Linked DNA regions of Elephas maximus indicus. Each later gene encodes a partner of the first gene's protein in a complex. Links are inferred from orthologs where the notes say so. Each region holds a gene or a part of one and is shown in the gene's direction. Other genes may lie near its edges.

Evidence for each region.
Region 2: the proteins of RNASEH2B (region 1) and RNASEH2C are in contact, whole or in part, in a crystal structure (PDB 3PUF), measured with the Homo sapiens proteins. The link is inferred for Elephas maximus indicus from reciprocal best matches to the Homo sapiens genes RNASEH2B and RNASEH2C. Residues at the interface, in NP_078846.2 of Homo sapiens: Arg14, Gln15, His16, Val17, Phe18, Leu19, Val20, Ser21, Glu22, Leu24, Leu35, Met36, Phe37, Val38, Lys39, Leu52, Glu62, Lys64, Phe66, Glu68, His70, His71, Ser72, Trp73, Phe74, Ile75, Asn76, Gln77, Ser78, Val79; in NP_115569.2 of Homo sapiens: Ile9, His12, Arg13, Val14, His15, Leu16, Ser18, Ala27, Thr28, Leu29, His30, Leu31, Leu32, Pro33, Cys34, Glu35, Val36, Ala37, Val38, Asp39, Gly40, Pro41, Ala42, Pro43, Val44, Gly45, Phe48, Phe63, Val75, Pro77.

The regions. Positions count from the first base shown.
Region 1 is NC_064832.1:27,075,951-27,092,180, reverse strand, and holds the start of RNASEH2B (ribonuclease H2 subunit B), read left to right. Parts: upstream 1-10,033; 5' UTR 10,034-10,482; coding exon 10,483-10,546; intron 10,547-16,230. UniProt on the Homo sapiens protein: Non catalytic subunit of RNase H2, an endonuclease that specifically degrades the RNA of RNA:DNA hybrids. Participates in DNA replication, possibly by mediating the removal of lagging-strand Okazaki fragment RNA primers during DNA replication.
Region 2 is NC_064825.1:128,863,328-128,879,300, reverse strand, and holds RNASEH2C (ribonuclease H2 subunit C), read left to right. Parts: upstream 1-9,017; 5' UTR 9,018-9,073; coding exon 9,074-9,245; intron 9,246-9,428; coding exon 9,429-9,619; intron 9,620-9,697; coding exon 9,698-9,817; intron 9,818-10,055; coding exon 10,056-10,082; 3' UTR 10,083-10,512; downstream 10,513-15,973. Other genes in the region: histone acetyltransferase KAT5, read right to left, coding at 10,670-10,804, 10,896-10,977, 11,112-11,271, 13,325-13,418, 13,495-13,635, 14,851-14,940, 15,022-15,270, 15,566-15,640 and 2 more.

The DNA.
Region 1 (16,230 bases):
CTGATGTTAGATACGAACCGTGCCTAACTGCTCCCACTTACATACAAATATGACTTAAAGACAGACTTGGGAATGGAGCACGTTCGTAATCGGGGGTTTGCCTGTACTCTTGGTTGTTCTACCTTTTCCCCTTGGCTGTAAATTGTTTAAAGTTGTTTTCTTATGCATTATTACTCTCTGTTTCTACTTCTCTCTCAGCTCTTTAGTGGATCTCATTTTACCCTCTTCAATGGCCTGCAAGACCCTCACATCTCTGACCTTATCTCCTACAGCTCTCTCCCCTTGCTCATTCCGCTCAGCCACACAGGCTCGTTTGCTGTCCTTGAACATGCCACATAAGCTGCAGCCTCAGGGCCTTTGCATTAGCTGTTCCCTTTACCTGGAACATTCTTCCCTCAGATATTCAGTGGTTAAGTCCCTTTCTTCCTTCAAGTCTTTGCTAAAATATTACTTTCTTTAGTGAGGACCACCCTGATCACTTGATTTAAAATTGCAGCTCTTCTTGTACCCACAAACCCCTTTCCCTGCTGTATTTCTTCTCTCCATAGTCCTAGTCACCCTTTACTGCACTATACGATTTATTTATTATGTGCATGGCTTGCCTATCTCCCTCCCCTAGATGTAAACTCCAGGAGGGCAAGTATTTTTTTATGTTTTGTTTACTGATGTAGTCCAAGCAACAAGATCAGTGTCTGGCATAGAATAGGTATCAATAAACATTGCTGGATTGATTCAGATTAACTCTTCTTTGAAGCAGCCATTCCATTTTACATTTTCTTCTCACAGGGGCCATTCCTCATCTGGCTCAGGACAAGTGCTCCCACCAACTTCTAGGAATCATCCCAGAGGAGTATAGAGCATGTTGAAATACGAGCCCCTGGTTACAATTTATAGTCTTAAGACAGCCAATCTAGGCAAAATCATCAAAACATGTATCTTGACTGAACTTACATATTTATCCAATGTGGAAAATGAAATTGTAAAGGAGGTCAGGAAATAAATCATGGAGTTGGTTGGTTTATTGCAGAAATTTAGGGAGAAAAAGAACCAGCTCAATGTGATTGGTGCTGGATTTTTTTTATTTGGAGCCACCCAGCCCAGTAAATAAAGGCCTACACTGGGGTTGGTTCTGCCACTAAGGAAAGGAGGGTTATGTACATGGGACATTTCATTTTTTTTCTGACTTAGATTTTCCAGCATAGTTAGAAGGAGGGGCTGTTGCTGGTACCTAATGAAGACAGCAATGTCGTCGCGTACTTAATCCAGAAAAGGTAGCTTGATCTAGATATTGTTCTAAGGAGTATATACGAAGTAGTTGTTTTTTAAAAGTTAGATTATTATTTGTTGTTATCTGCTGCTGAGTCGGCTCTGACTCATGGCGACCCCACGTAGAAAAGAATGAAACGTTGCCTGGTCCTGTACCATCTTCACCGTTGTTGTTATGCTCAAGTCTATTGTTGTGGCCACTGTGTATTTAAAAAAAAAAAAAAATTTTTTTTCCAACCTAGAAGGCTCATCTTCCAGCAATATACAGGACAATATTCTGTTGTGATCTATAGGGTTTTCATTGGTTGATTTTTTAGAAGTAAATCACCAAGCCTTTCTTCCTAGTCTGTCTTAGTCTGAAAGCTCTGCTGAAACCTGTCCACCATGGGTTACCCTGCTGGTATTTGAAATTCTGGTAGCAGAGCTTCCAGCATGACAGCAAGATGCAGGCCACTACAGTACAACAAACTGACAACTGGGTGTGTGTATGCACAGAAATGGGTGAACTTAGTGTCAATACACTGCAGCCAAAGAGCACCACTGACATGCATGGCATTTACACACGTGTCATTGAACAAGTCGGTTTATGACTCTCGGCAGGAGGGAGAACACACACCCCCGGGAAAATCATGGAGTGTCTCAGAATCAGGAAGTTAGACAGAACCTATTATAGGGTTTGGGCTTTGGTTGGATGAGCTGGGGGAGGGTCTAGGGTTCACTCTAGATTGGATGCTGCCAGAAAACGGGGGCAATTTTATGGTTGGACATCTCACTGACTCTTATCTGTAGGGAGGGGGGACGAGAATGAGGATAAAGCTGTAATTGGTAAAGAAGCACTAGTCCCTTATTTTGGCCAAGAGAGGGATGTTTGGTACTTTGTGGGTGGCACAGCAACCTTGTTTCTGTGCTTAGGCAAAAGAGTCCTTGCCTTGTCTCGTTTATCCTAAGTCTCAGAGTAGCCTTGTCTGGGGTTGGTGGCCTGTGAGACTGTTTGCGTCTAATGGGAGGGTAACATGGTCTAGCCGAGAACCAGGCCAGCTTCTGAATGTCAGGGGCTGCACTTCTTCCTTTCTCACTCCTGGCAGTCATTCTCATTGTACAACGGGCAGATCTCAAAGGTATGTACCACGCTGCCCCTTTTACAACGGTACAATGTAACACCACCTCGGCTTGAACAAGAGGGTGAACAGAAGAGCAATTAATTCCTCCCCCGCCCCGAAACAACAATTCAGCACCACTCCTCATTGGTCCCTTCTAAACTCTTGGCCCTCTTCTCCTCCTTCCTTGAGGACTGTGTTGTCACTGTATGAGCATTTGGCAACAACCCTCCCTCCAGATATAAGTCATAAGAAATGTAGATTTTCATATTTATTTCGTTTTGAAAGAAGCCTTCTCATACATTTTTAGTAATTCGTAAGAGAAATCCATAGTCGCGGTTCAAGCTCCCTCTTGCTCTGGTCGCCTTAACTAAGCATGACTAAAGGGCATTCACTCTGAACTGGGTTTGCCGTTTTGTTTTCCTGCCAGAAAATTAACACTTGTTGCTTCCGCATTTAAATGTGTCTCTGAATCTCTATTCAGAAGTGTTAAGGTTGTGGCTACCTTCTTATTTTTGGAGAATGACTTGCTTGTCTCTTTGCATGGCAGCTTGACTAACTAAGTAATGTAAAATCAAATTTATGAAAGGTATTATGATATACTAGAAGCAGCCAATTCATTCTTGTTTATAAATTATGAAACACCATAAGCTGCTGACTGTTACCATGACTACCTATCTCACCACATAAACATTTGTTCAAAAAATGTCTGTTGCATGTGCTCTGTGCCCATACAATGTAGCCTTAGACACTGGGCAGTGAGAGGAAGGGGAGGGGAAAGTCCAGTCTCTGGAGTCCCACAGCCTTGGTTGGAACTGCTTGCTGTCTCTCAACTTCATGTTCTCTCTCTGTAACATGTGGGTTAGCATGCTAAAACTTCCCCTTGGGGCTCTTGGGGAGGTCTCAGGGTGGCACGAGTGGCTTATGCTTGACTACGAACATAAAGGTTGGCAGGTAGAACCCATCCAACAATGCCACGGAAGAAATGCCTGGCAATCTGATGCTGAAAGGGCACAGCCAAGAAAACTGTACGGAGCAGAGTTCAATTCTGCACACGTGGGATCGCCACGAATTGGAATTGAGTCCTTGGCAATGGGTGGGGCTTTTGGAGGACTAAGAGATAAGTCAAGTTCAGTGCTTAGTGCGGTGCCTGGCAGTTAGCACTCAGCAAGGGAGAACCTTTGTTATTTTTTGAGGGTAAAGCGGTGAATTACTAGATGCGGCCGTTCTCTCCGGGAACTCACAGCCTGCTAGTGGAGCCTGTGGAGCAATCTGACTCCACTACACAGTGAGGTAAAAATGAAGGTTGGGGGCAACTCACTCACTGGGGGTGGGGCGGGGCACCAGGAGTCACGGAGAGGAGTGCCATGGAAGACGCCTTGTCGAAGTCAGACCTGATGGATGAGGAGAAATTGGGCAGGTGGTGGTGGACAGTGGAGGCAAAGGGGCAGAGATGAAGCCAATGGAGAACAGAGTGGTCTGGGCATTGGAAACACCATGTCCAATGCTGGACATGACCCAGGGCAGAACTGCACGCTCCTTCCGGTGGTGGAGTATGGATGGGGCAGAAATTGTGGCTGGAGGGGCAAGAGAGGACAGATCTCCAAGGGCCACATGTGCAAAGCCTAGTTTCTTGGACTTTATCCTGAGACAATAAGGACCTACGGTCAGTCTCCACACCAACTGCTGGTCCCCTTTTTAAGAAGGTACTTAAATAATTTTTTTTTTAAAATGGGATAAAGGAATTTGTTTAGAGGTGTTTGTGGCAGCGTTTTTAAAAAAAAGTTTTATTGTGGTAAAAATACATATAACAAAACATTTGCCAATTCAACATTTTTTACAGGTACAAGTCAGCAACACTGACTGCATTCATCATGTTGTGCGTCCATCACCACTGTTTCCAGATTGTTCCGCCACCATTAACAGGAACTGAGTGTCCCCTGAGCGTCCCCCTCCCTTCTGTCCCTGGTGATCGCTAATGAACTTTGTCTCTATGAATTTGCCTATTCCAGATATTTCATAATAAGGATCATACAATATTTGTCCTTTGGTGACTGATTTATTTTACTGAGCATAATGTTTGCAAGGTTCATCCATGGTGGCATGTATCAGGACTTCATTTCTCTTTATGGCTGAGTAATATTCCATTGTATGGATACGCCACATTTTCGTTTATTCCATTCATCTGTTGATACAGTTTTAGACTGTTTTCACCTTTTGATTATTGTGAATAGGGCTGCAATGAACATTGGTGTACAAGTGTGGCCCCACTTAAAAAAAAATTGTCCTTGAACCTAAGGGATAAGGAGTTAACTATACTCTCATCCATAGGGCATAACGACCCCTGTAAATGTGAGCCCTGGCTCCTCTCTTTATTTTCCCTGCACCTTGCCTCTACCCTTTCTCCTCCTTTTTAAATATATCCATTTTTTATGTGTTTAAGCCAAAAACAAAACAAAACAAAAACAAACAAACCCACTGCCAACAGATTCTGACTCATAGCGACCTGGCCTTAAATATGTATGTATCTTTACAAAATGTTGTTGCTAGATGCCAGCAAGCTGCTTCTGACTCATACTGACCCTCTGTACAACAGAACAAAACATTGCCCAGTCCTGCACCAGCCTCAAAATCGTTTTTATGTTTGAGTCTATTGTTACAACCACTGTGTCAATCCATCTTGTTTTTCTCTTACCCACTACCTAACCAAGAATGATCTCCTTCTTCAGGTACAGGTCTATCCAGATAACATGTCCAAAGTATGTGACATGAAATCTTGACATTCTTGCTTCCAAGGAGCACTTTGGCTGTGCTTCTTACAAGACAGGCTTGTTTGTTCTTCTGGTAGTCCACGGTATATTCAATATTCTTCCCCAATACCATAATTCAAAGGCATCAATTCTTCCTTGGTCTTCCTTATCCACTGTCCAGCTTTCACAAGCATATGAGGCTATTGAAAATACCACAGCTTGGGTCAGATTCACCTTAACCCTCAAAGTGACAACTTTGCTTTTCAACACTTTAAAGAGATCTTTTGCAGCACATTTGCCCAATGCAGTAAGTCATTTGATTTCTTGACTGCTGCTTCTGCGAGCATAGATAGTAGATTCAAGTAAAATGAAATCCTTGACAACCTCGGTCTTTTCTCTGTTTATCAGGATGTTGCTTATTGGTCCAGTTGTGAGGATTTTTGTTTTATGTTGAGATGTAATCCATATTGAAGGCTGTATTCTTTTAACCTTCATCAGTAAGTGGTTCAAGTCCTCTTCACCTTCAGCAAGCAAGGTTGAGTCATCTGCATATTGCAGGTTGTTAATGAGTCTTCCTCCAATCCTAATGCTGTGTTCTTCTTCATAGAGTCCAGCTTCTTGGGTTATTTGCTCAGCATACAGGTTGAATATTATGATGAAAAGATACAACCCTGACACACACCTTTCCTGATTTTTAACCACACAGTATCCCCTTTTTCTGTTCGAACGACTGCTTCTTGGTCTATGTTCCGGTTCCACATGAGCACAATTAAGTGTTCTGGAATTCCCATTCTTCCCAATGTTATCCTTAATTTGTAATAACCCACACAGTTGAATGTCTTTGCATAGTCAATAAAACACAGGTAAACATTTTTCCGGTATTCTTTGTTTTCAGTCAAGATCCATCTGACATCAGCAATGCTATCCTTTGTTCCATGTCCTCTTCTGAATCTGGCTTGAATTTCTGGGTTTTCCCTGACGATGTATTCCTGCAACCATTTTGAATTATTTTCAGCAAAATTTTACTTATGTGTGATATTAACGACATTGTTCAATAATTTCTGTATTCTGTTGGATCACCTTTCTTTGGAATAAGCACAAATATGGATCTCTTCCAGTTGGTTGGCCAGGTAGCTGCCTTCCAAATTTCTCAGCATAGACCAGTAAGTACCTCCAGTGACGCATTCGTTTGTTGAAACATCTCAATTGCTGTTCTGTCAATTCCTGGAGCCTTGTTTTTCACCAATGTCTTCAGTATAGTTTGGACTTCTTTCTTCAGTGGTTCTTGGTCATATGCTAGCTCCCGAAATGGCTGAATATCAGCCAGTTCTTTTTGGTACAGTGACTCTGTGTATTCCGGCCATCTTCTTTTGATGCTTCCTGCGTCATTCAGTATTTTGCCCATATAACCCTTCAATATTGCAACTCAAGGCTTGAGTACGTTCTTCCCTTTTGGTTTTCTAACTCCAGGTCTTCACACTTCTCATTATACTTTACTGTCTTCTCAAGCCACCCTTTGAAATCTGTTCAGCTCTTTTCCTCCTTTCGTCATTTCTTCCTTTCACTTCAGCTACTCTACGTTCAAGAGCAAGTTTCAGAGTCTCTTCTGACATCCATTTTGACCTTTTCTTTCTTTCTTTTTGATGACTGTCATGGATTGAATTGTGTTCCCCAAAACGTCTGTCCACTTGGTTGGGCCATGATTCTGAGTAGTGTGTCACTATCTGCCATTTTGCCACCTGATGTGATTTCCCTTTGTGTTGTAAATCCTATCACTATGATGTAAGGAGATGGATTAGTGGCAGTTATATTGATGAGATCTACAAGATTAGATAGTATATTAAGGCAATCTCTTTTGAGATATAAAAAAGAGAAGCGAGCAGAGGGACATGGGGACCTCATATCACCAAGAAAACCGTGCTAGGAGCAAGACTGTGTGTGTCCTTTGGAGCTGAGGTTCCTGTATGGAGGAGCTCCTAGGCCAAGACAGATGACCTAAGCCTTCCTCCAGAGCTGACAGAGAAAGCCTTCCCCTGGAGCTGATGCCCCGAATTTGGATTTGTAGCCTACTAGACTCTGAGAGAATAAATTTCTCTTTGTAAAGCCATCCACTTGTGGTATTTCTGTTTTAGAAGCACTAGACGACAAAGGTAATGACTTTTTGCTTTCTTCAGGTATGATGTCCTTGAAGTCATCACACAGCTTGTCTGGTCTTCAGTCATTAGTGTTCAATGCATCAAACCTATTCTTGAGATAGTCTCCAAATTTAGGTGGGATATACCCAAGGTTGTATTTTGACTCTCGCAGACTTGTTATAATTTTCTTCAGCTTCAGTTTGAACTTGTATATAAGCAATTGATGGTGTGTTCCACAGTCAGTCCCTGGCCTTATTCTGATGGATGATATTGAACTTTTCCATAGTCTCCTTCCACAGATGTAGTCCATTTGATTCCCGTATACTCCATCTGGAAACCCTGGTGGCGTACTGGTTAAGTGTCTACGGCTGCCAACCAAAAGGTCAGCAGTTCAAATCCACCAGGCACTCCTTGAAGACTTTATGGGGTGGTTTTACTGTGTCCTATAGTGTCGCTATGAGTTGGAATCGACTTGACGGCAATTGGTTTGGTTTTGGTTTTATATTCCATCCAGTGAGGTCACATATATAGTCACCATTTGTGTTGCTGAAAAAGGTATTTGCAATGAATGAGTCATTGGTCTTGCAATCTCTAATGTCCTTTCTATCACTGACATATTTTCCAACTACAGATCCTTCTTTGTCTCCAACTTTCACATTCTAATCACCAGTAATTATCAAAGTATCTTGATTGCCTGTTTGATCAATTTCAGACTGCAGAAGTTGGTAAAAGTCTTCAATTTCTTTATCTTTGGCATTAGTGCTTGGTGCGTAAAAATGAAAATCTTATTAACTGTAGGCATATGGATATTATCCTATCACTCACAGCGTTGTACTTCAGGATACGTACTGAAATGTTCTTTCCGATGATGAATGAGATGCCATTCCTCTTCAACTTGTCATTCCCAGCATAGTAGACCACGTGATTGTCCGATTCAAAATGGCCATACCAGTCCATCTCAGCTCACAAATGCCCAGGATATTGATGTTTATGCATTCCATTTCATTTTTGACCATTCCCAATTTCCACGTTCCGATTATTAATGCATGCTTGCAGGTGTTTCTTCTCATTTTGAGTTGTGCCACATGAGCATATGAAGGTCCTGAAAGCTTTACACCACGTCGTTAAGGTCGACTCCACTCTGAGAGTGCAGCTCTCCCCGAGTTGTATTTTCAGTGGCTTCTAACCTGAGGGGCTCATCTTCCGGCACTATATCAGGCAATGTTCTACTGCTATTCATAAGGTTTTCACTAACAAATTTTTTCAGTAGACTGCCTTTCTTCCTAGTCTGTCTTAGTCTGGAAGCTCCGCTGAAACCCATACACCATTGGTGACTCTGCTGGCATTTTAAATATCGGTGGTATAGCTTCCAGTATCACAGCAACACACAAGCCACCGCAGCACAACAAACTGACAGACTAGTTTTGGGTAAAATATGTAGTATCGTATTACGTGTGTTTGTAATTGACTGACATGGTAGTCTGCTATAAATTTCTCCTGTGTCTTGCTTTTTTCCTATCAATACAAAGGATCAACGTTGCTATATATACATCTAGTTCATTGCTTGGAACTGCTGTATAGTCCATTTACATTATACATTGCAGCATTATTTATAAGTTTGTATTAAACTAAACATTGCACACTAGGGAATGATTAAGTGACCGTGGTAAATTAGCAGTGTGAAATAGCATGCCTTTACTAATGACAGTTCTGAATATCATGGGAAACATGCTTACGATGTTAAGCGGAAAAAGCAGAAAAAATTGTGTTTATGCTATGAAAATAACCACATAAAAATATACATTCACACAGCCAAGGGCTGGAAAAAATCAGAGAAAAATGAAAACAGCTACGTGTGTGAGAGCAAGGGAACTGTGGGTGTGTCTGGGAGTTTGGCCTACATGATAGCTTTTCAGACAGTATAATCTCGAGGGAGAACAGGCAGATCAGGGCAACACCAACCTGCTGCCTACCCTGCCCCAGAACTGGCCTCTGCCACCCCTGCAGTCAACTTTAGCATCTGTCTCATTCCACTGGAAGTAGGAGCGAAGTTAATTATCCGTTCAGAAGGCAGAATGAGATCTCTCTCTCCAAATTTAACTCTCTTCATGATAGAACAAAGCAAAGTGCAGGAGAGTTGAACATACTATTCTTCCCTTTGCGCAAAAGTAAAACACATAAGTTTGTATTTGCAGGGGAAGAATTCTGGTAGACAAAGTGTTTACAGTAATTATCGCTGAAGAGGGGGACTGGGGATCTGAAGTAGCAGGGAGACTTACTTTTTAAGAAAGAAAGAAAAAATATATATATATATATTTTAAATTATGTACAAGGAATTACCCTTTTCAATTAAAAATTTTATTTTTAAAAGCTTAAATCTCAAAATCCTAACGTTTGAAACATTACTCTTAAAATCCTTTAACTTTTAACTCATCACTCAATCTTCCAAAATAATAAACAAATTCATTCAGACTTTCAGGGCTGCTTACATGTTTTATGAGTCACAGCGCAAACAATATTCTACTATTAACTTTAAAGCAGAATGCAACTGATAATTACTGAGATCCTAGTTACCACGTCTGCGTTCACTAGGACTCAGATGTTACGACCACTGTCCTAACATGGACTCTTCTCCTGGCTTTCCCCCTCGGTGTATAAGGACAGCATTCGTCCCCCAGGCCCACACCCTGGGATCCGGGCCTTGCTCCCCGTGACGCCCTCCCACTTTGGGTCACTCGGCGTCCCCAAGAACCTCGCGGGTGGAGCTGTAGGGCGTTGTGACCGAGCGTCTGCAGCCAGGCCTGGGCCCAGGCGACCCCGCCCGCGCCCGTCGCCGCCGCCGCGTCCCCGGGTCACCGCCCCGCGCGGCCAGCACCTACCACTGGCCGAGTATCGGAGGGGAGAGATCGCGGCCCCTTCCTCCTGCCGGCTGGTAGTGCGTCGGTACTACGGCCGCCTCGGCCTGGCGCTAAACTTAAAAATGACGCCAGGGAAGTGCTGAGCACCAGCAGCCGACCAGCCCCGGAAACGAAACCAAATTCGTACCGCGGGCCGCTTCCTAGCTCTCCCAGACCCTTGGCGCGCCGCGCTACCCGGAATAGACCCTTCTCCCGCCATTTTCGGCTTGTTCTCAGTCGGGACCCGCGCGCAGCCGGCCCCGCGCTCCAAGAGCTGAGGCTCGCGGCTCCGGGGCTCGCCCCGCGTGGTGCTCGTGTCCCGGGATCGGCGGGCAGCATGGCCGCCGCCGTGGACTCTGGGGACGGGCTTCACGCCCGGCAGTACGTGTTCCTGCTTCCAGGTAAACACGCCCGCCGGGAAGGGAACGCCGAGCCCGGCCTCGGGCCGCACGCCGCTGGGCCGGGAACGCGCGGAGCGGCCAGCGGGGCCGCGCACGACCTCGCGGGCCCCAACCTGTGGCAGGCGCAACACCCCCTCTGCGCCAGGCCCGGGACCCGCTGCCCCTCCGAGCGCCGACCCACGGCCCTCAGCGCTCGGCCCACACCCCCTCCGCTCCGCGTGCCGACCCCGCCGCTCTGCGCTCGGCCCCGGTCTCGCCGCCCTTCCGCGCGCGGCCCTCGGTGTCTCAGTGCTCGGTACGGCCCCGCTTCTCCTCCGTGAGCCAACCTTTGACTCCCCCCGGCCCCCCTCCCCTCCGCGCACCGGCCACGGCCCGGCTGGCCCCCATGACGCCGCCCCGACCGCCCTCGGGCCCTCAGTGTTCGGCTCCCACCCGCTGCCCCACCGCGCGCCGACCCCGGCCCCTTTGCGCTCGGCCCATGCGCAGCGGCCGAGGCTCTGTGAGACTGGGTTGTATCCCATGTTACAGCTGGATGCCGTTACCAAAGCCCAAAGCAGGACACGGACCGAGTGTGTCCCTAGCTCGGATCCTCGTGGGTCCCGTGGGCGAGAGGGATCGGCTCTGGCCTGCGGAGGGCGCGGGGGTAGGGTGGGGCGAAGCCTAGGGCGCACTGCAGGGCCTGGGGTTTTGCGATTTGGGTGTAACTTGAAGTGCCCCACTGGGCATTTGGCTTAGGTGCCGACTGATCCAGTAGGCCCGGAGTCGCCTTGGAAGATAGCGCTGTTAGCACGGTCCATGCCCTCTGACAAGCGTTGGGTAGCGAGGCAGTAGAAATTCCCTTGGGAGTAAGGGAAGCCGGATCCTGGTAGTGGTTAGAACAAGGGAGGTTCAAAGCGATTCAGGCCGTTTACCACTGAGGCTGGAGCTAGGCTCTTCCTTGAGGAAGATAACCAGCCCTCCAAGACAGCTGGCTTGGGAGGATGAGCTACCAGTGACGGACGACCAAACGAGAAGGGACCATTAAGTGCCAAATAAAAGGGGTGCAAACACTGTAAAAAGGTTTGGCCTTTTGATACGATAATAGGATTGTGGCATAACACTGGAAAAAAGGAAAATCCGTTGTTCACTGTTAATTTTGAGATTGAGCTCAGCAAATGCAGGGAGTTTTTGCGGTAAATACACACTGGTGATGATTAAAAAAAAAACACCCGTTGCCGTCCAGTCAACCCTATAGGACGGAGTAGAATTGCCCCCATAGAGTTTCCAAGGAGCGCCTGGTGGATTCGAAGTGCCGACCTTTTGTTTAGCGACCGCAGCTCTTAATCACTATGCCACCAGGGTTTCTGGTGATGATATAGTTGTCCAGTAGTCTAGATTTGTATGGTAAAAAAAAAAAAAAATAGTGCTATCGCGTCGTTTCCGACTCATAGCGAGGATACTGAAAATTGTTACATGGCAGTCTGTGAAGAATTTTGTGTGTGTGTACGTTTGATTTTTCCTCCTTTTATAAAGAGTTAAGTGTGCAGTTCGGTCATCTTTTACATATGTACACAGCCCTGTAACCATCCCAGGTGGAGACGCAGAATTTTTCCAGCAGGCTCTTCATGCCCCCTCCCTGAATATCTCTAGTAACCTCTATGCTGACTTCCCTTGCCAGAGATTAGGCTTGCCTGTTTCTATCAGTATGTACCCGTGTGTCTGGCTTCTTCAGTTCCCATGCCTGTGACGTTCATCCAGGTGTGTCGCGGTGGTTTTTTTTTTTTTTTTTTTTTATTGGGTACATTGCACTGATGAATATCCATAGTATTTATCTCTTCTACTATAGATGAACATTTGGATTGTTTTCAGTTTGTAACTATTATGAATTACATTTCAAAGAATACTTTTTTAGGAGGCTTTAGATAGACATGGCACTCATTTCTGTAGAGTTTATAATCAGGGGTGGAGTTGCTGGGTCTTAGGTATTCATATGTTTAGTTTTAGTTGTTTGTTGTTGTGTGCCATTGAGTCTATTCCAACTCTTAATGACCCCATGTGACAGAGTAGACCCACCCCATAGGGTTTCCTAGGCTGTAATCTTTACTGGAGCAGATAGCCAGGTCTTTTCTTCCCCAGTGTGGCTGGTGGGTTTGAACCCCTGACCTTTCGGTTGGCAGCTGAGCGCTTAACTGTTGTGCCACAGTTTTCCAATTTACACTCCCACTAGCAGTGTTTTTTTGAGCAGCATATGAGACTTTCTATTCCTTCAGAGCCTCACCAGAGATGTTTGTAGAGTAAAATAGTTACTGAGAAGGTCAGGGTTTTGGCTTCAGTCTAGTGAAGGACTTGCTTTACATGGAGAGTCCTCCTTCGCACTTCCGTCACAGCAATGCGATTTTAAGGATGGGACTCTAATCTTTCAGAATCAAGTGCGTTGTTAATATACAGACACACAAAAAAGCTGAGGGTAATTTGAGTTTTTAATTTTGTTATATTTTTCTTAATATTGACATCATTCTTAAAAGTGTGTTTGTATCTTCATTGTATTAAACACTAAAACCCTCGAAAGATTTAAGTATTGATTGTATTCCTGAAAATTGTAGGCTTAGTATATCTACTGCTGGGCTGTGAGAACGGTTTCGGCCCAGTTCCTGTTCTAAGCTGTACTGTAACCGTTTAACTCTCTGGGGGTGGCTGAGCAGCTGTTAGTGAATTGATAATAAAGAACTGTGTGGTCATCCAGGCAGGTTCTGTAACAGCCCAAACTGGAGCATCCTTAGCCTCTAGCTCTTCCATCCGGCCTCCAGTGCCACCTGCAGGCTCTGAGGATAAGTCCACAAACACACTTTGATAGCTGCTGCTCTGGATCAGGAAACCCCGGTGGTGTAGCGGTTAAGTGCTATGGCTGCTAACCAAAGGGCTGGCAGTTCAAATCCGCCAGGTGCTCCTTGGAAACTCTATGGGGCAGTTCTACTCTGTCCTATAGGGTCGCTATGAGTCGGAATTGACTCGACAGCCCTGGGTTTGTTTTTTTTTTTGGTTTGGCTCTGGATCAGTGGCTCAAAAACTTGAAGGCATCAGAATCACCTGGGGAGCTGGACCCCGCACCCAGAGTTTCTGATTTCAGTAGGTTGGGGTGGCCCAAGAATGTGCATTTCTACCAAGTCGCCAGAGGATGCTGCTGCAGGTCCGGGGACCCCACTGGGAGCCTCAGCGGTGAGGAGTAGCAGCTGGGAGCTGGGATTGGGAACAGGAATGGCCAGCCTCGGGCTTAGCTCTCTCTGTGCTGGGCCAGGGTTTACGTGGTGAAGGGGGTACACGGAAGCACAGGGAATGAGGCCGTCTTCACAGATGTGTTTGCTGTTTTTTCCAGTAGGTGGGAAGTCATTCCAGCTAGTTGTCACTGAAGAGGAGGAGAATAGACCCTTGGCAGAGAGCACCATAGCTACCATGAAGTTGCAGCCTTACTAAAGAAAACAAAGTTTAATATAAAAATTTTCAAAACTGTTCGGTGGAGGCAGTCTGTGTTCAGTTTTAAAAAACTTCCGGGATCTGAAGAGCTTACTCTATAGGCTGAAAAGTGAGCACATTAACCAACAGGCCAACAGAGCTTTAAGAGATTTATCTGTGAAACAAATGTAAAATCACCTAACCTTGAGATGATACTTTTTTCCAACATTTAATTCACATTATTGAGTTGCTTACCGTAAGCAGAAAGGGGAATCCCTGGGTGGTGCACGCTATTAATAAACTAAGCTGCTGATCAAAAGATTGGAGGTTGGAGTCCACCCATAGGTGTCTTGGAAGAAAGGCCTAGCTATATACTTCTGAAAAATCAAACACTGAAAATCTTGTGAAACACAGTTCTATTCTGATAACGTGTAGGGTTGCCATGGGGCAGAATCAACTCGATAGCAACTGGAACTAGAACCATGAGTACTGTGTTCTATCTTGGAAGATATGTTTAAAAATAAGATTTAGGTCTCACCCTCTAGTTTTCATTTTGTCTGGAGAAGCCAAATATTGCAGATTAAAAAAAGCTGCAACTTGGAAGGGACACTTGTGAGGTATTCTGACTTGGGACGTTGATTTTCATAGGCAGGTGGAGACAGACTGCTTCCCATTTCAGCAAAGTAAGCATTCCTTGTAGTTTCAGATGGTGTTAAATGTTTTCTCCAAAATGCCCTGGAAATGATAGCCTATTTGAAGTTACAGTTATTATAAGAGGCCATTAACATCTTTGGAATGTGGTGGAAGTTTCCATTCCTCTTTGCTTTTCTAATAATAAATGTTTAAGAAATATTTTTTACATGTTTCTGTAGTCCAAGTTTTGTACGCTCATCAGTTTTATTAAGTTGAGGCGGCCCCAGGCGTGAAAGGTGAGCTAGGAACACATTCGCAGAGTGTAGGATGTAAGACTCCGTTTATTGCTTTTGCCTGGGTAATACTGATTACCTGCCCAGCTCCATGGAAATGGTAAAACATTTGGAAACCTTAATGTTAAGTGAGAAAAAAAGGAGAACAGAAATGATCTCAGGACCATAAAGAAACTCATTTGGGTCCACCTAGGTTGGTCAAAGCGTCCATTAAATTAGATCAAAGTGGCCTTTAGGTTGCATCCTCAACTGCAGTAAAATTATTCCCCTTTATTTAATGAAAATACACATTAGGAGGTATTTTAGGAAGGGCTGTGTTTTTTATCTTTTTTCCTGCACCTAGCAGGAGTCCCTGGGTGGTGCAGTTAAGTACTTGACTGCTAGCTAAAAAGGTTGGCAGTTCAAACCCACCCGAGAGATACCCTCAGAAGATAGGCCTGGTGACTGGTTTCCGAAAGGTTAAAGCCTTGAAAACCTTATGGAGTGGTCCTACTTTATACATGTGGGTTTGCCCTAAGTGGGGATTTATGGGACTCACTGGCAACCAATAACAACGCCATAAGTAAGGGCCAGTTTTTTGGGGGTAGAGGATGAGTTCCTTTTGGGGAGATGAGAATCCCAGGCCTGTCTACCTTAGACAGGGCTGTCCATTTCCGATACAGTAGCAAGCTTTTTATGTGAAACGTAATGATAATCACAAATAATACTAATATCAGATTTGTTTCTCCAAATGGAGTGCAAAACTGGAGGTGAAATATTGTATGAATGGATCCTTTAGAACTATGTTCTAATTAAAGGATTAGAAAAGGAATCAAATTTAAAAGGGGAAACTAATTTTCCTATTTAATGTTGGAGAAAATTTATATTAATGTTATTTCTGATTATAGTCTTGTGGATATACCTTTTTATGAGCCCAAAAGAAATGCTTCTAGTTTGGGGGGGAAAAAAAAAAGCGTATGGCGAAGGAAGAACCACTATAGATCTATTTTCATCACCATAAAAAAATCTTTTCCCTCCCTTCCCTAAGGGCATGTCGTTAATCTCAGAAGACAAATTTCAGGAGATATTTTTGTTCCTTGTGAAAGCTCTTTGTGTGTACGTGTGTTGGTGTTTGGGAACAGCCTTTGTAGGCTGAAAGTTCTCTTCCTTCCAGAAGAGTGTATTCTGAAGGGACAAAGCAGCACTTAGCACTAGGGAACCTGGCCAATGCAAGTGCTGATCAGAGACAACCACTGACTACTTGTGCTCAGCTTCTTGGAAAATATTTCATTTGCTGAGTCGTGTCCTGCGAGCAGTCAGCAATGTGGGAGTCTCAGCTTTCCAGCAGGG
Region 2 (15,973 bases), on another chromosome or scaffold:
AGGGGAATGCTTTCAGCCTCTCTCTGTTAAGAATGATGTTGGCTGTTGGTTTTGTATAGATGTCCTTTATTATGCTGAGGAATTTCCCTTCTATACCTATTTTATTGAGAGTTTTTATCAGGAAGGGTGTTGGACTTTATCAAATGCCTTTTCTGAGTTGAATAAGATGATCATGTGATTCTTTTGTTGTATTTATGTAGTGGATTACATTGATTGATTTTCCTAATGTTGAACTATCCTTGCATAGTTGGTATGAATCCCACTTGGTTCTGGTGGTTTTTTTTGTTTTTGTTTTTGTTTTGATATGATGCTGAATTCTGTTGGCTAGAATTTTGTTGATAATTTTTGCATCTATATTCATGAGAGATATTGTCTGTAATTCTTTTTTTTGTGGTGTCTTTGCCTGGTTTTGGTATCAGGGTTATGCTGGCTTCACAGAATGAATTTGGAAGTATCCCTTCCTTTTCTATGTTCTGGAAAAGTTTGAGTAGTACTGGTGCAAGCTCCTCTCTGAATGTTTGGTAGAATTCTCCAGTGAAGCCATCTGGGCCAGGGCTTTTTTTTTTTTTTTGCTTGTTTTTTTGTTTTACCTTTTCAATCTCTTTTCTTGTTTTGGGTCTATTGAGATTTTCAATCTCAGTTTGTGTTAGCTTATTTAGGTAGTGTGTTTCTAGAAATTTGTCCATTTTCTCTAGGTTTTCAAATTTGTTAGAGTACAGTTTTTCATAGTACTCTGTTATGATCCTTTTTATTTCAGTTGGGTCTGTTGTAATGTCCCCCATTTAATTTCTTATTTGGGTTATTTGCTTCCTCTCCTGTTTTCCTTTTGTCAGTTTGACCAATGGTTTTTCGATTTTGTTGATCCTTTCAAAGAACCAAATTTTGGTTTTGTTGATTCTTTCTATTGTTTTTCTTTTCTCCATTTTATATATTTCTGCTCTTATTTTTATTATTTCCTTTTTTTTGGTGGCTTTGGGCTTCCTTTGCTGTTCTGTTTCTATTTGTTTGAGTTGTGTAGCTAATGTTTTGATTTTGTCACTTCTTTTTTGATGTATGCATCTATTGCTATAAACTGACCTTTGAGCACTGCCTTTGCTGTGTCCCAGAGGTTTTGGTATGATGTGTTTTCATTCTTGTTTGATTCTAGGGAAGTTTTTATTCCATCTTTGATTTCTTCTATTACACAGTGGTTTTTAAGCAAGGTGTTATTATTTTCCATGTATTTGATCTTTTTTCCTTTCTCTTCCTGTTAGTAATTTCCACTTTTACGGCATTGTGTCCAGAGAAGATGCTTTGTATTATTTCACTGTTTTGAATTTTGTTGAAGGTTGCTTTGTGCCTAAGATGTGGTCTATTTTGGAGAACATCCCATGGGTATTGGAAAAGAGTGTGTACTTTGTTGCTGCTGGGTGACGTGTTCTATATATGTCTGTGAGGTCAAGTTGGTTGCTTGCAGCCTTTAGATCTTCTGTATCTTTGCTGAATTTCTTTCTAGATGTTCTGTCCTTTACCGAGAGTGTTGTGTTGAAGACTCATACTATTATTGTGGAACTGTCAATTCCTCTTTTCGGTGCTGCTAGAGTATATGTATTGTGGAGCCCTGTCACTGGGTGTGTAGGTATTTATTATGGTTATGTCCTCATAGTGGGTTGTCCCTTTAATCATTATATAATGTCCTTCCTTGTCTATTATGGTGGATTTTGTTTTAAAGTTTATTTTATCTGAGATTAGTATTGCCATTCTCACACTTCCTTGGTCGCTGTTTGCTTGATACTTTTTTCCATCCTTTGATTTTTTTATATATTTATGTCTTTGTTTCTAAGGTTAGTTAGTAATTCTTTAAACTTTCTCTGTTCAGATTACTGTGTGCTGTCTCTCCTGATTGGACCCTGACTGATACAACAGGCAATCAGTAGGAGTTAAAGGATACCACTAAAAATGAATAAACCAGATGACAGAAGATAAAATAATAACATGGAACTAAGGTTTTTTTTTTTTTTTTTCAAGAGATAGAAATACGAGGAACAAAAATACAAACCCTCCTAAATACCACTTGTTGGGGGAATGGTCTGCCTCTATGCCTCCCATCCAGCCTGCCTAAATAAAGGCCTTGGGCCCAGAACACTCTCCGATAACGAGGCTGGGAATCGGGTCACTTTCACTCTCCCAGTTCCTTCTCATTAGAGAAACTTGCCCCCTGTTCTGGGCACACAGTAACTTTGTCTCTTGCACATGCACAGGCACCATACAGCACCTGGCCAACCCACTTCTATACCTGTTCCCAGTAGGAAGGGAGAAGGGTCTCTCCTGCTGTGGCAAGAGAGGGGGAATGTGCCAGACTGAAGGAGTTGGCCTTGAGGGGTGGACTGAAGGGGAAACAGGATTTGAGAGGCTGAATATCAGTGCCCTCATGTGGTCCACTAGTTCACTTCTATTTGCTGAATTATTCTTATGTAAGCCCCTGGCCTGTAGCCACTATTGTCTACCTCTAATACAAAACTGCCCTCCCACTGTGGGGTGCGAAGATCTGCCAAGGACTTGGACTTGTATGTAAGTCTCCATAATAAACTCCCTCGCTACCATGCTGGAGTTGCCTGCCTCTTTCTTTGGTCTCTCGGCACCCTCCATTTTTGAAGGCAAGTTTCAGGATACTGGTCCATGCCTGAAAACCACTTTTTAAAATATAAAGACAAAAAATACACATCTTCATAGAGAAATAAACATCAAATATAACAAAATTGACATAATTATGAAATATTGTTACAGACTTGAGACCAAAAATATAAATTATATTGATAAATAAATAGGCCTATGTTATGGGTTGAATTGTGTCCCCCCCAAAATATGTGTTGTAAATCCTAACTCTGTCGTATAGGGTCGCTAGGAGTTGGAATGGACTTGGAATGGACTCGATGGCACTGGGTGGGTATGCCTGTGGTTATAACCTCATTTGGGAATGGATTGCCCTTGTTATGTTAATGAGACAGGATTAGTGTAGGGTATACCTTGAGTCAATCTCTTTTGAGATAAAAGAGATTAAATAAGAAATCTAGCAAGCAAAGATAGGGGGAGATTGATGCCAAGCCTCATGGAGATCTCCAAGGAACAAGGAAACAAGCTGAAGCGACAAGGACCTCCCTCCAAAGCCAACAGAGAGAGAGAAAGCCTTTCCCTAGAGCCAGCACTCTGAATTTGAACTTCTAGCCTCCTAAACTGTGAGAAAATAAATTTTTGTTTGTTAAAGCCACCCATTTATGGTTATTTCTGTCATAGCATCACCACATAACTAAGACAGTCTAACTCACTTATTTAAAGAAAAAGATTTTTAATTTGGCTAAAACAGCAAGACCCAACTATATGTTGTATACAAGAACACACCTAAAATAATGTGATTCAGAAAGGCTAAAAATAAAGTGGTGGATGAAGATATACCAGGCAGACGGAAACAATAAAAAAGCAAAGAAAGCGATCTTGATGTCAGAGAAAGTGGAATTCTGGCCACAAAGTATTTAAACACGACAAAGAAGGGTACTACTTAATGCTAAAAGTCCTAATTCACCACAAAGATATAATATTTATGAATATTTATGCACCAAATAACCCAGTAACCAATTTTGAAATTTTATAATGGCAAAATATGTATAACATAAATTTAGTCATTTTAACCATTTTAAGTGTACAATTCAGTGGCATTAATTATATTCACAATGCTATACAATCACCATTCTTTATTTCCAGAAGTTTTCATCATCCCAAACAGAAACTCTGTACCCAGTAAGCCATAACTCCCCATTGACTCCTTCCCCTAGCTCCTAGTTTAGCCATTAATTTACTTCCTGTCTCTATGCATTTGTTTATTCTAGATATTTCATATAAGTGGAATCATACATTTGTCCTTTTGTATCTGGTTTATTTCACTTAGCATAATGTTTCTAAAGTTCATCCATGTCATAACCTGCATCAGAACTTCATTTCTCTTTTTGGCTGAATAAGATTCCATTATATCTATACACCAGGTTTATAAATACAATGGAACATCGATTTGATTTATTCATTCATCTGTTGGTAGACATTTGGGTTGTTTCCACCTTTTAGCTACTGTGAATAATGCTGCAATGAACACTGTATCTGTTTGAGTAAAAAAACAATAAAACCAAACTCGTGGCTGTGAGTCAATTCTGGCTCATAGCAACCCTATAGGACAGAGTAAAACTGCTTGATAGGGTTTCCAAGGAGCAGCCGGTGGATTCGAATTGCCAATCTTTTTTTTTTTTTCCTCTCTCTTTTTTTTATGGTGCTTTAAGTGAAAAAAAAAAAAAAAAAAAAAATTTTAAGTGAAAGTTTACAATTCAAGTCAGTTTCTCATACCAAAACTTGTACACACATTGCCATGTGACCGCAGTTGCTCTCCCTATAACGTGACAGCACACTCCTCCCTCTCTACCCTGTATTTCCCATGTCCATTCAACCAGCTCCTGTCCCCCTCTGCCTTCTCATCTCGCCTCTGGACAGGAGCTGCCGGCATAGTCTCATGTGTCTACTTGAGCTAAGAAGCGCACTCCTCACTAGTATCATTTTATGTCTTATAGTCCAGTCTAATCTTTGAAGAGTTGGCTTCAGGAGTGATTTTAGTTTTGGGCTAAGACTGTCTCGGGGCCATGTCCTCTGGGGTCCCTCCAGTCTCAGACAGACCATTAAGTCTGGTCTTTTCACTAGAATTTGAGTTCTGCATCCCACTTTTCTCCTGCTCCATCAGGGATTCTCTGTTATGTTCTCTGTCAGGGCAGACATTGGTGGTAGCCAGGCACCACCTAGTTCTTCTGGTCTCAGGCTGATGAAGTCTCTGGTTTATGTGGCCCTTTCCGTCTCTTGGGCTCTTATTTTCCTTGTGTCTTTGTTGTTCTTCATTCTCCTTTGCTCCAGGTGAGTTGAGACCAATTGATGCATCTTAGATGGCCGCTTGCTAGCTTTTAAGACTCCAGACGCCACTCACCAAAGTGGGATGCAGAACATTTTCTTAATATAGTTTGTTATGCCAATTGACCTAGATGTCCCCAGAAACCATGGTCCCCAGATCCCTGCCCTGCTACTCTGTACCTCAAAGTGTTTGGTTGTATTCAGGAAACTTCTTAGCTTTTGGTTTAGTCCAGTTGTGCTGACTTCTGCTGTACTGTGTGTTGACTGACCTTCCCTTCACCTAAAATAATTCTTTCTACTATCTAATCAGCGAATATCCCTCTCCCTCCCTCCCCATCCTGTAACCATCAAAGAATGTTTTCTTCCGTGTTTAAACTTTTTCTTGAGTTCTTATAATAGTGGTCTCATACAATATTTGTCCTTTTGTGACTGACTAATTTCACTCAGCTTAGTGCCTTCTGGACTCATCCATGTTATGAGATGTTTCATGGATTCATCGTTGTTCTTTATCATTGCATAGTATTCCATTGCGTGAATATACCATAATTTGATTATCTATTCATCTGTTGATGAGCATCTTGTTTGTTTTCAACTTTTTGCTATTATAAACAGTGTTGCAATGAACATAGGTGTGCATATATCTATTCGTATGAGAGCTCTTATTTCTCTAGGATATATTCCAAGGAGTGGGATTGCTGGATCGTGTGCTAGCTCTGGAAACCCTGGTGGTGTAGTGGTTAAGTGCTACGGCTGCTAACCAAGAGGTCGACAGTTCAAATCCACCAGGTGCTCCTTGGAAACTCTATAGGGCAGTTCTACTCTGAGTCGGAATCGACTCGACAGCAGGGGATGGGTATGGTAGTTCTATTTCTAGCTTTTCAAGGAAGCACCAAATCAATTTCCAAAGTAGTTGTACCGTTTTACGTTCCTGCCAGCAGTGTGTAAGTGTTCCAGCTTCTCTACAACCTCTCCAACATTTATTATTTTGTGGTTTTTGGATTAATGCTAGCCTTGTTTGAACTGCCAACCTTTTGGTTAGCAGCCTGAGCTCTTAATCACTGAGTACCTGGGTCACAGCTTCCAGATTTACAATTTAATGACACTGATTGCAATGGTGATTGAAATGTGAAAGTTAGAAACAAAAAGAAGAATCAGTAGTGGAAAATATAGCCTTGGTGACAGAAAATACTCCAGAGAGCACATGATAGAATTCTGTAAGACCAATGACTTATTCATCGGATATATCTTTTTTCAACACACGTTGACAACTATACACATGGACCTCACCAGATGAATTACACAGTATTCAAATCAACTACATCTGTGGAAACAGATAAGGAGAAGCTCAATGTCATCAGTCAAGACAAAGCCAGGGGCTGACTATGAAACAAACCATCAATTGCTCATATTCAAGTTCAAAATGAAGCTGAAGAAAATCAAAACAAGTCTATGAGAGCCAAAGCATGACTTTGAATATATCCTACCTGAATTTAGAGACCATCTCGAGAACAGATTTGACACACTGAACACTAATGACTGAAGACCAGAAGAGCTGTGGAACAGCATCAAGGGCATCATACACGAAGAAAGTAAAAGGTCATTAAAAAGACAGGAAGGAAGGAAAAGGCCACAACGGGTGTCAGAAGAGACTCTGAATCATGCTCTTAAGCACCGAGTAGCTAAGTGAACAGGAGAAATGATGAAGTAAAAGAGATGAACAGAAAATTTCAAGGGGCAGCTTGAGACAAGGTAAAGTATAATAATGAAATGTGCAAAGACTTGGAGTTAGAAAACCAAAAGGGAAGAACATGGTTGGCATATTTCAAGCTGAAAAAAATGAAAATAAAATTCAAGCATAAAATACTTAGTAATGAATTTAGCCAAGAAAGAACACAACTTTTACACTGAAGCTGAAAAAAAATTAAGGAAAATATAAGTGAATGGAAAGACATTCCATGTTCACAAATTGGAAGACAATATTGTAAAGATGAAGATGTCAAAGTGATCCATGGATTCAACGCAATCCCTATCAAAATGCCAGAAATGGAAAAACCAATCCTAAAATTCAAGGGGCCCAGAAAATCCAAAACAATCTTGCAAAATTAGAGTGAAGTGGAGGACTCACACATCTTCATTTTAAATCTACAATTATCAAAACAGTGTAATACTGGCATAAGAATAAATATATAAACCCACGGGTTAGAATTGAGGCCCCAGAATTTAACCCTCACATCTACAGCCAATTGATTTTGACAAGGGTGCCAAGACCATTCAATGGGGAAAAAACCAATTTTTTCCACAAATGGTGCTGGGAAAACTGAGTATCCACATGCAAAAGAATGATGTTGGACCCTTACTTTACACCACATACAAAAATTTACTTAAAGTGGACCAAAGACCTAAATTTAAGAGCTAAAATTCTTAACCTACAGAATGAGAGAAAATACTTGTAAATCATATATCTGATAAAGGTTTATCAGATATGAGTTTATCTAAAATACATAAAGAACCCCTACAACTCAATAACAAAAAGAAAAACAACCCAATTTAAAAATGGGCGAAGGACTTAAATAGACCTTTCTATTTAAGATGTACAAGTGGCCAACCAACACATGAAAAGATGCTCAACATCATTTAGTCATTACGGAAATCCAAGCCAAAACCACAATGAGATACCACTTCACACCTACTAGAATGCTATAATAATAATAATAATAATAAAACATGGAAAATAATAAGCGTTGGGGAGGATGTGGAGGAACTGGAAAGCTCATCCATTGCTGGTGAATGTAAAATGGTATACCCACTATGGAAAACAGTTTGGTGCTTCCTCAAAAGCTAAACATAGAATTACTGTGTGACCCAGTACTTCCACTCCTAGGTGTGCAGCCAAAAGAATTGAAAGCAGGAACTCAAACATACTTGTATGCCAATGTTCATAGCAGAATTATTCACAACAGTCAAAAGGTGGAAACAGTCCAAGTGTCCATCAACAGATGAACGGATAAACAAAATGTAGTCTATCCATACAGTGGGATATCACTCAGCCATGAAAAGGAATGGAGTTCTGATATATGCTACAACATGGATGAACACTGAAAACATTATGCTATGTGAAATAAGTCAGATACAAAAAGACAAATATTCTGATTCCAAATATATGAAATTGTTGTTGTTAGGAAGACCCTCCACGAGATGGATTGATACAGTGGCTGCAACAATGGTTTCAAACATAGCAATGATTGTGAGGATGGCTCAGGACCAGGCAGTGTTTCATTCTATTGAACATAGGGTCGCTATGAGTCGGAGCCAACTTGATGGTACCTAATAACAAGTTGCCGGGCGTGACTCCTGTTGACCGTATGTATAACAGAACAAAACATTGTCCGGTGCTTCGCCATCTTCTTGATCATTGGTATGTCTGAGTCTATCGTTGCAGCTATTGTATAGGGTCTTACCAACCTGAGAGGGAGGGGCTCATCTTTAGAACTATATTGGACAATATTCTGTTGTGATTCATAACGTTTTCACTGACTGATTTTTCGAAATAGACTGCCAGGCCTTTCTTCCTAATCTGTCTCTTAGTCTGAAAGCTCCACTGAAATCAGTTCTACCATAGGGCAGATTTGAAATACTGATGGCAAAGCTTCCAGCATCATAGCAACTCACAAGGTACCACACAGTACAACAAACTGACAGACAATTGGTAGTAAGAAATATCTAAAATAGGCAAATTCACAGAGACAGAAAGTAAACTAGAGGATACCGTGGGCCCGTAGGAGGGAGAACCGGGAGTTACGGCTCAACGGGTATGAATTTCTATTTGGGGTGATAGAAAAACTGGAAATAGTGGTGATGATAGCACAACACTGTGAATGCAATTAATGCCACTGAATTGTACACTTAAAAATGGTTAAAATGGCAATTTTTCTGTCTATTTTACCACAATTTTTAAAATTAATTTTGGATTAAAAAAGACATTTAAAGAAAGCTGGGACTTTAACCAGCTGGGGGCGGGGCTTGCAGAGGAGTCTCGGAGAAGGACTACGCTGTCCATGGGGCTCTGCGCTGACTGTACCCGGCCTCCCGAGAGGCTCTGCGCGCTTTACGCGCCAGCTTTGGCCTCAGCCAGACACAGACTCGCGGCGACCGGAGGATGGAGAGCGGCGATGAGGAAGCCACCGAGAAGCACCGCATCCACCTGCGCCCTGCCACGCTGCGCGACGCTGCCCCCGTCACGCTGCACTTACTGCCCTGTGAGATCCTGGCTAACCGGCCCGCCCCCGTCGGGCGCTTCTTCACTCCGGCCATCCGCCAGCGGCCCGCAGGTCAGCGCTCGAGCCGGACTACGGCTCCCGGCAGCCCCCGCGCCCGCGCCGCGCGACCCTCGGCGAGCAGCGCCGCGAGGGCGCCTGGGGCTCGTAGTCCGCCCGGCGGTGGCGGGAGGGCCGCACTGGGCGCCCTGTGCCTGGGTTCTCGCCTGACCTAGGTCCTGCGACTCTTCCCTTCAGGGCTCGAGGTGTCGTTTCGGGGCCGCCTTCTGCGGGGCGAGAAGGTGATGGTGCCCCGTGGCCTCGCGGGATACGTGATGGTGATGGACGAGAAGGCAGAGGTGTTAGAAAGGAAATACGCATCGAGGGGTTCAAAGAACGACGACGAGAAAGAGCAGCAGGAGCGCCCGGAGCCAATGGAGCGGGACTTCGTGAGCAGAGGGTGTCGGGGCAGGAAGGGGGTGCGGGCGGAAGCGGCGCTTCCATTCTGAGCCGGGCCCCTCCCTTAGGACCGCTTTCTCAGGGCCACTGCCAGTTTTGCCAGCTTCCACCTGTGGGGCCTGGAGACCGTCCCCGGCCCGGACGCAAAAGTACGCGGGGCCTTGACCTGGCCCAGCCTCGCTGCAGCGGTGAGTGTAAGGACGGGCCCTTCTCCTTTAAAGTTTGATGCTGGGTTGGCCAGAAATTTGCCCCCAAGTGGATTTGGGGCTCTAGGGCCGGGGAGCACAATGGGGCAGGATTAGACTGGGTGAAGGGCTTCCCCACCACTCTTCTCTGGAGGCCTAGAAAGGGCTATCATTCTGAGCAGCTGGGCCTGTCTCAGGTATGTGGCCCCAGAAATCCAACAGCAGGTGACTCCTGTTACAGATTCACGCACAGGTGCCTGAAGACTGAGAACCAGAGCTTGGGACTGAAATCCACTGATCCCTGCACCCCACTGAACCAGCCCTGTACTTGAGAGCCACTGATCCCATCACCCCAATAAATGAGCTCTTCAAAGTGCCTGTGAGTCTGTGGCACCTTGGAGCCCTGAAGCCACCAAGACTGTCCCTAAGAACAAGAACCTTCTGGGGCTCTGGCCTATAGAAACAATTTATTGCGAGGGGAATAGGGGTGAGAGAGGCCAGAATTCTGCATACCCACCCACCCCCAACTCCTACTTTACAAAAGGAATCTTTACATCCAACCAGCCCTCTGTGCAGATCGCCCCTAGCCTGCCCCTCACTGTACACAGCTGCCAGGCTCCTTCCAGTCCCTGGTTTGGAGCAGGCCTGGGCCCGCAGCCAGCCAACCTTGGAGTTGGCCTGAGCCAAGCTCAGGCACTGGGCACCAGTGGCCCCTGCCAGGCCTGTCCTGTCCTTGTGGAGCAGTCCACAGCCCCGTCTCCCTTGTTGGGCCTCTTGGGGGCCTTAGTTGGGGAAGGCTGTGCTGTCAGCACCAGTCCTGCCTGCTCTGTTGACAATGCCGTGGACAGTGTCTGGTCACCACTTTCCCCGTTTGCTCCAGTCCTTGGGAGTGAAGTGCAGACACTTGGAGTCGATCCGAAGCAGCCGCTTGAGCATAGCCCGTTCGTGCCCATCCACGATGTCCTCTGACAGCGTGAGGATATACTGGCCCTGGGTAGGGGGAGGGGTCGGCAAGTCAGCGCCCCCCACCCCAGAGCTGCACCCCCTCCCAGGGACCTGTCTGCCCTGCCTGTCCCCCTACCTTGTAGTAGTTGATGAGGTTGAGGTACTGCAGGGTGGAGATGACATCCTCCTTCTTGATGCTAGTGATCTCACTGATCTCGCTGTGGGAGGGAAGAGGTCAGGTCCGCTGAGGGCCTTCCCCTCTGCCCCAGGACCCCAGGAGGAAGTGAGGGAGCTGGGGACAGAAAGGCCAGGCCATGCACCCCCTGGGTAGGTTGGGCTGGGCCAGGCTCACTTGATGGTGATCTGTGGCCTCTCCCCGCTCTCTGACTTCAGCCCCATCAGGATCTCCAGGATGGTCTGGGACCAGTAGCTTCGATAGGACAGGAGGCCAAGATCGGAGAGGGGCTTCTCAGGGGTCCCTGTTTTCCCTTCCACTTTGGAGAGTTCATAACCTAAAGCAATGGGGCAGGAGACGGTGGGTAAGGGTCACAGGCTAACGCAACCAACGTTGTAAAGCATGGATGGTGGAGGCCCACTCCCTGGTCAGTCCTGGCCCTGCCACTTAGTTTTGTGACCTTGGGTATGTGGCTTGTCTGCTCTGTGCCTGTTTTCCTCATAAAGGACTTACAACGGAACCTCTTTCATAGGACTGTCACATAATCAAAGGATGACATATGCCAAGTGCTGTCACCTGCTGACCTTTTCTGACCACTTCACCTGGATGTGCTGAGCACAGTGTGGGGGCACTGTGCATTGTAATGAGTAGCTAATACAAGGGGTGCTGGGGGGCTGCAGGAAGAATGGCTTATGGAAGGAATGGTGTCACCATTTTGTGATCCCAGACTCTCCGCTGTGTCTGGGCATGTGAGGAGAGAAGGGGGGCAGTGCTCCATCTCTAATCCAGGCCTGAGGATGCTTGAATTCTCTCAGATCAATCAGTTCACCCTGCCGTCACCTCAGAGGCTGACTAGGCTGTCCTGGGGACTGACAAGGTGGATCCAGAGAGCAGGCGCACCAAAGTGCTTGCCCAGCCAGAGGGAGGCCCTTCCTTGCAGCCAGGTGACTGCTTCCAAAGCGGCTCCTTCCTGCCCTCACATGTGGACAGCTGGGCACTGGAACTGTCCAAGGGGCAGCTGAAGCTGAACCCAGAGATGGCTATGGTAGGCAGTGGCAAGCAGATCTTGGGGAGTCCCTGCAGAGCTGAGTGGGTTCCCACACTTGGGCAAGGTGTTCAGTCTCCTGTCAGGACACTGGGATGTCCCCACTACCTCTGAAGAGCCACAACCAGCCTCACAGTGAACCTTTGTCCCTTCTGCTTTCCTGGTATCTTTATCAGCCAGGGGTATCCTCTTACCCAGTCTCCTGTGGCCTCCCCACCAGTTCAGACTGGCTGGTTGGAGAACGCACCAAAGAGGAGGCCTTTCAAATATACTCAGCTTTGTGGGGTCCATAATGCATGCATGGTCCTAACACATTGGCTGGTGGCCACACTTACCTCCTCAGCTACAACCGGCTCCTGGCCCCTCCCCAGCAAACACCCCCTGCCCTCTGAGCTGCCTGGAATGGTGCTTTGGGGGCCCTGCTGGGCAGGCCATCCTGACCACCACATCTTCTGTACACTTAGGTCTGAGCTCAGTGCTTAACCTGAGTTTAAGAGTCTGCTTGCTCTACCAGGCTAAACTTCCTGAAGATGACTTCATCCTGGCATCATGTGATCACTTAACATTTCTCAAATAGACTGTGACCTTGGTGAAGTGAAGTGAAGTCTCAGCCTATCAGCTAAAGCTCTGCCTGCCTCCCAGAATCAGAGGAGCTTGAAAAAAACAAAACAAGATTTCTGAAAAGTTGGCATTCAAATGGTTGAGTGCTGAGATGAATGGAGCCAGGGTAAGAGGCTGGAAATCAGAAGGGTCCTCGGAGTTGGGGGAGGGGAGGCACTGAAACATCCGTATGTGATGAGGCCCGTGGGGCCCTTCAGCTTTTAAAGATTTATCTGACCGAATACAAGGAGTTGGGGGCAAATTCATGCATGTTGGTGCTTACATCTGTTAGAAAAGTGAACAGTTTGAATACCTAGCATCTGCAAGGCTTTGGGGACACCTGGGGACGTTAACATAGGTCCTGGCCTAGAAACTTGTATCTCAGCACAGTACCAGATGGGTACCCGACAGTGGCCCCCACAACTTCTGCCCACGGCTGGGGCAGGAGATGAGTCAGATCAAGAAGTTGGGTGATGCTTAGAGCCTTGGCCAAGAACCAGTGGGGCAGAAGGATAAGCCTGCTCCAGACGAGCAGGCAGCCACCCCAAAAGGCGAGAACCTTGGCAGACCCCCATCTTTATTTCTGGCTAGCTCCCCTGCATAGCCAGGTCTGAGAATCACAGGCTGGTGTGTATGTGTGTGTCTGTGTGTGCACATGTGTGCGCGCGCCCTGGTGATGGGGGCACGGGCCCTGGGCCTGCCAGTGCGCGCCACCAGCCGCTGGAAAGCCAGCCCAAGTACTCACTGAACTCGATCAGCAGCTTGCCGTAGCCCCGGCGCTGGTAAGGAGGCAGGGTCAGGATGCAGGCCACGTTGTAGTCTTCGGTCGACTCCTTTTCCTGCAGAAGAGAGGCAGTGAGTGGGCGGGGGTGGGACCTGGCTCAGCAGGACAGGGGAAGCCTGAGGAGTGCCCACCTTGGAGAAGTAGCCCACGATGTGGAAGCCCTTGCTGTCATACTCCGTCATAACATAGAAGAGGAAGGGGTCTGTATCATAGTACAACGTCTTGTGGTCGAGGAAACACTTGGCCAAAAGACACAAGTTCTGGGAGTAACTCTGCAAAAGAAAAGACCTGTCACCCTCTGGACACCTGTCCTGGCTGTGGCCATTAATCCAGACCAGGCAGATGCTTATCTATTCATGCTGTACTAGCCCTGTGACAGGGCTCCACCACCTGGCTCCCCGGTGAGCTGGGCAGGATCACCCCTGCTCCCCACAGCTCTATGCTGGCCTGGCCGGGGGGGCCTCCACTGCCCTCTGTTTAACAAGTCAACAGACAGAGATGGGTTCCTATGAAGTCAGACTCTGGCCCGGGCACATGAGAGAAGCTGTGACCTCTGTTTGGATGGCATTTCGGGAATCTGGTTATCAAAAAGCAGAACAGCCTCCCACCCCCAGCCCATAGTCACACCTGGCAACAGAGCTGCCATCTACAATGCAAACAGGAAGTTCTGAAACTTAACAAAAAACAGCCTGAGAGGTGCCCCCGGCAAAATTACGAACCTTGCCTCCTCACACCTGTGCACAACTTCTATACTTTCAGGGGAAGTTTTTAACTACCTGCTGGGCCAACTCCACCCTAGCTACTACAGATCAGTGGTTAATGCCTCATCTTCCTCTCAGGCTGCCCCTCACACCAGCCTGAGCTCTCACCTGCTATTCAAGGTGCCTGCCTCTCCCTCACCATCCTGCAGACTCTGCAACGGTGGAGTCTCACTCAGCAGTCTCCAGATTACCCCCTTCTTCCCCACGGCCACAGAGCATAGAGGTCTGAAGCCCCAAACCTGCGGTGCCCCTGCTACCCCTACTGACCTTGTTTCCACCACCTAAACTCTGTCCCTTCTAAGAGCCTTGCACCTTCCTATCTTCCCTGCCTTTCAGCTTTTCACACACACCATCCTTGTACAGCAGGCCTGCCTTTCAGCATCTCACTGCTCAGAATCCTCTCACGTCAAAGATCACCACTGTGAAGCTTTGTGGACTACCTCCTTAGGGTCCTGGTAACCCACCCTTGGACTCATGACACTTGTCACTCTGGGATGTCACAGGCCATTGGCAGGACTTTCCCATGGGCCACGGGGTCTCAGCAGAGACTGTCTAGTTTCTGGTCATCCTAGTACATCCCAGCACTACTAGTACTCAATAAAAATGGGCTGAACCAACATGTTGGCCAGACTGGTGAGTGTTTTCCTAAGCAGGAAGAAACTGCTCAACTTCCTGTGTCCCAGGCCACCAGCTCCAAGGACACCCCACTGCTCCTCAGTTGCTGACCTTATTCTTGCGGCCATCAATCTCAAAAAAGGAGATGGTGCCCTTGCGGTAAATCTCGTTGCCTGGGGGGTGTCGCAGGTCGCACTTGGTCTGGGGAAGAAAGGAGGGTCAGAAGCAGGAGTGGGGGCAGGACGAGGTGCTGGGAGAGCAGCCTCCTGGGGCCCCTCATACCAAGTGACGCTGCAGACACTTGAGACTCCGGCCATACTTGAGGCAGAACTCGCAGAGATAGAGGACAGGCAACGTGGTGAGCTCTTGTGGGTACGGGGAGAAGTACCACGGCTTGAGGCGGTGCCGGCCCAGCTCAATGCACTCGATGTTTTTCATCCGGGTGACTATGTCGTCGTGACTCCGGTCGGACACCAGGCTACCAGTCATGCGTGGTGCCGATGGAATTCCATCTGAGCTGTCCTGGGAGTCCTGCCCAGGGCCAGTAGAAAACACCAGGTTACGAGAGATGACTCAAGCAGGACACTACAGCTTCCACAGCAACACTATAAAAAAGTACTATAATCCCACTTTCCAAACGAAGAAACTGAGACCCTGAAATCACCAAATGACTGGTCTGAAACATGCTCTACACCTGGCTGCAGATATCAGACACCACTGCCACCTAGCCCTCCCTTGTTTCTTTTTAAACTAGGCACTAAACTCCCCCTGCCCACATGCCCTCCCTTACCCCTAGCTTTCCTCTTCCTCTGCTCCCCAGACCCACCTCATCAGTGCCCAAACAATTTGATTTCCGCTTCCGTCCTGGCTGAGCGGCCACTGCCCTACGGGCTGATCCATTCTGCAAATGAAACAGTAGGAATAGAAGAGCCGAATGTGACATAACCTTAAAAGGGCTACCAAACGATAAAAGAGAGAAAAGGAAAAAGGGATAGTTTGGGGTACTCACCTGGGGAAAAACTGAGGCTGGGGCTGTCTCGCTGGGCACCGGAGTTGCTGGTGAAACCACCTCCACCTTCCGTTTCTGCAGAGAGAAACCAAGAAAGGTGGGTCAGAAGGTAGAGAACGTGGGACCTGAGAGTAAAGCAAGGTCCCTGGAATTGCTGAGGGTACCGTAGAGCGGTGATTGGGCTGCAGGCAGGAGCTGGAGGAGAGCGGCTGGTCGGGCTCGCCA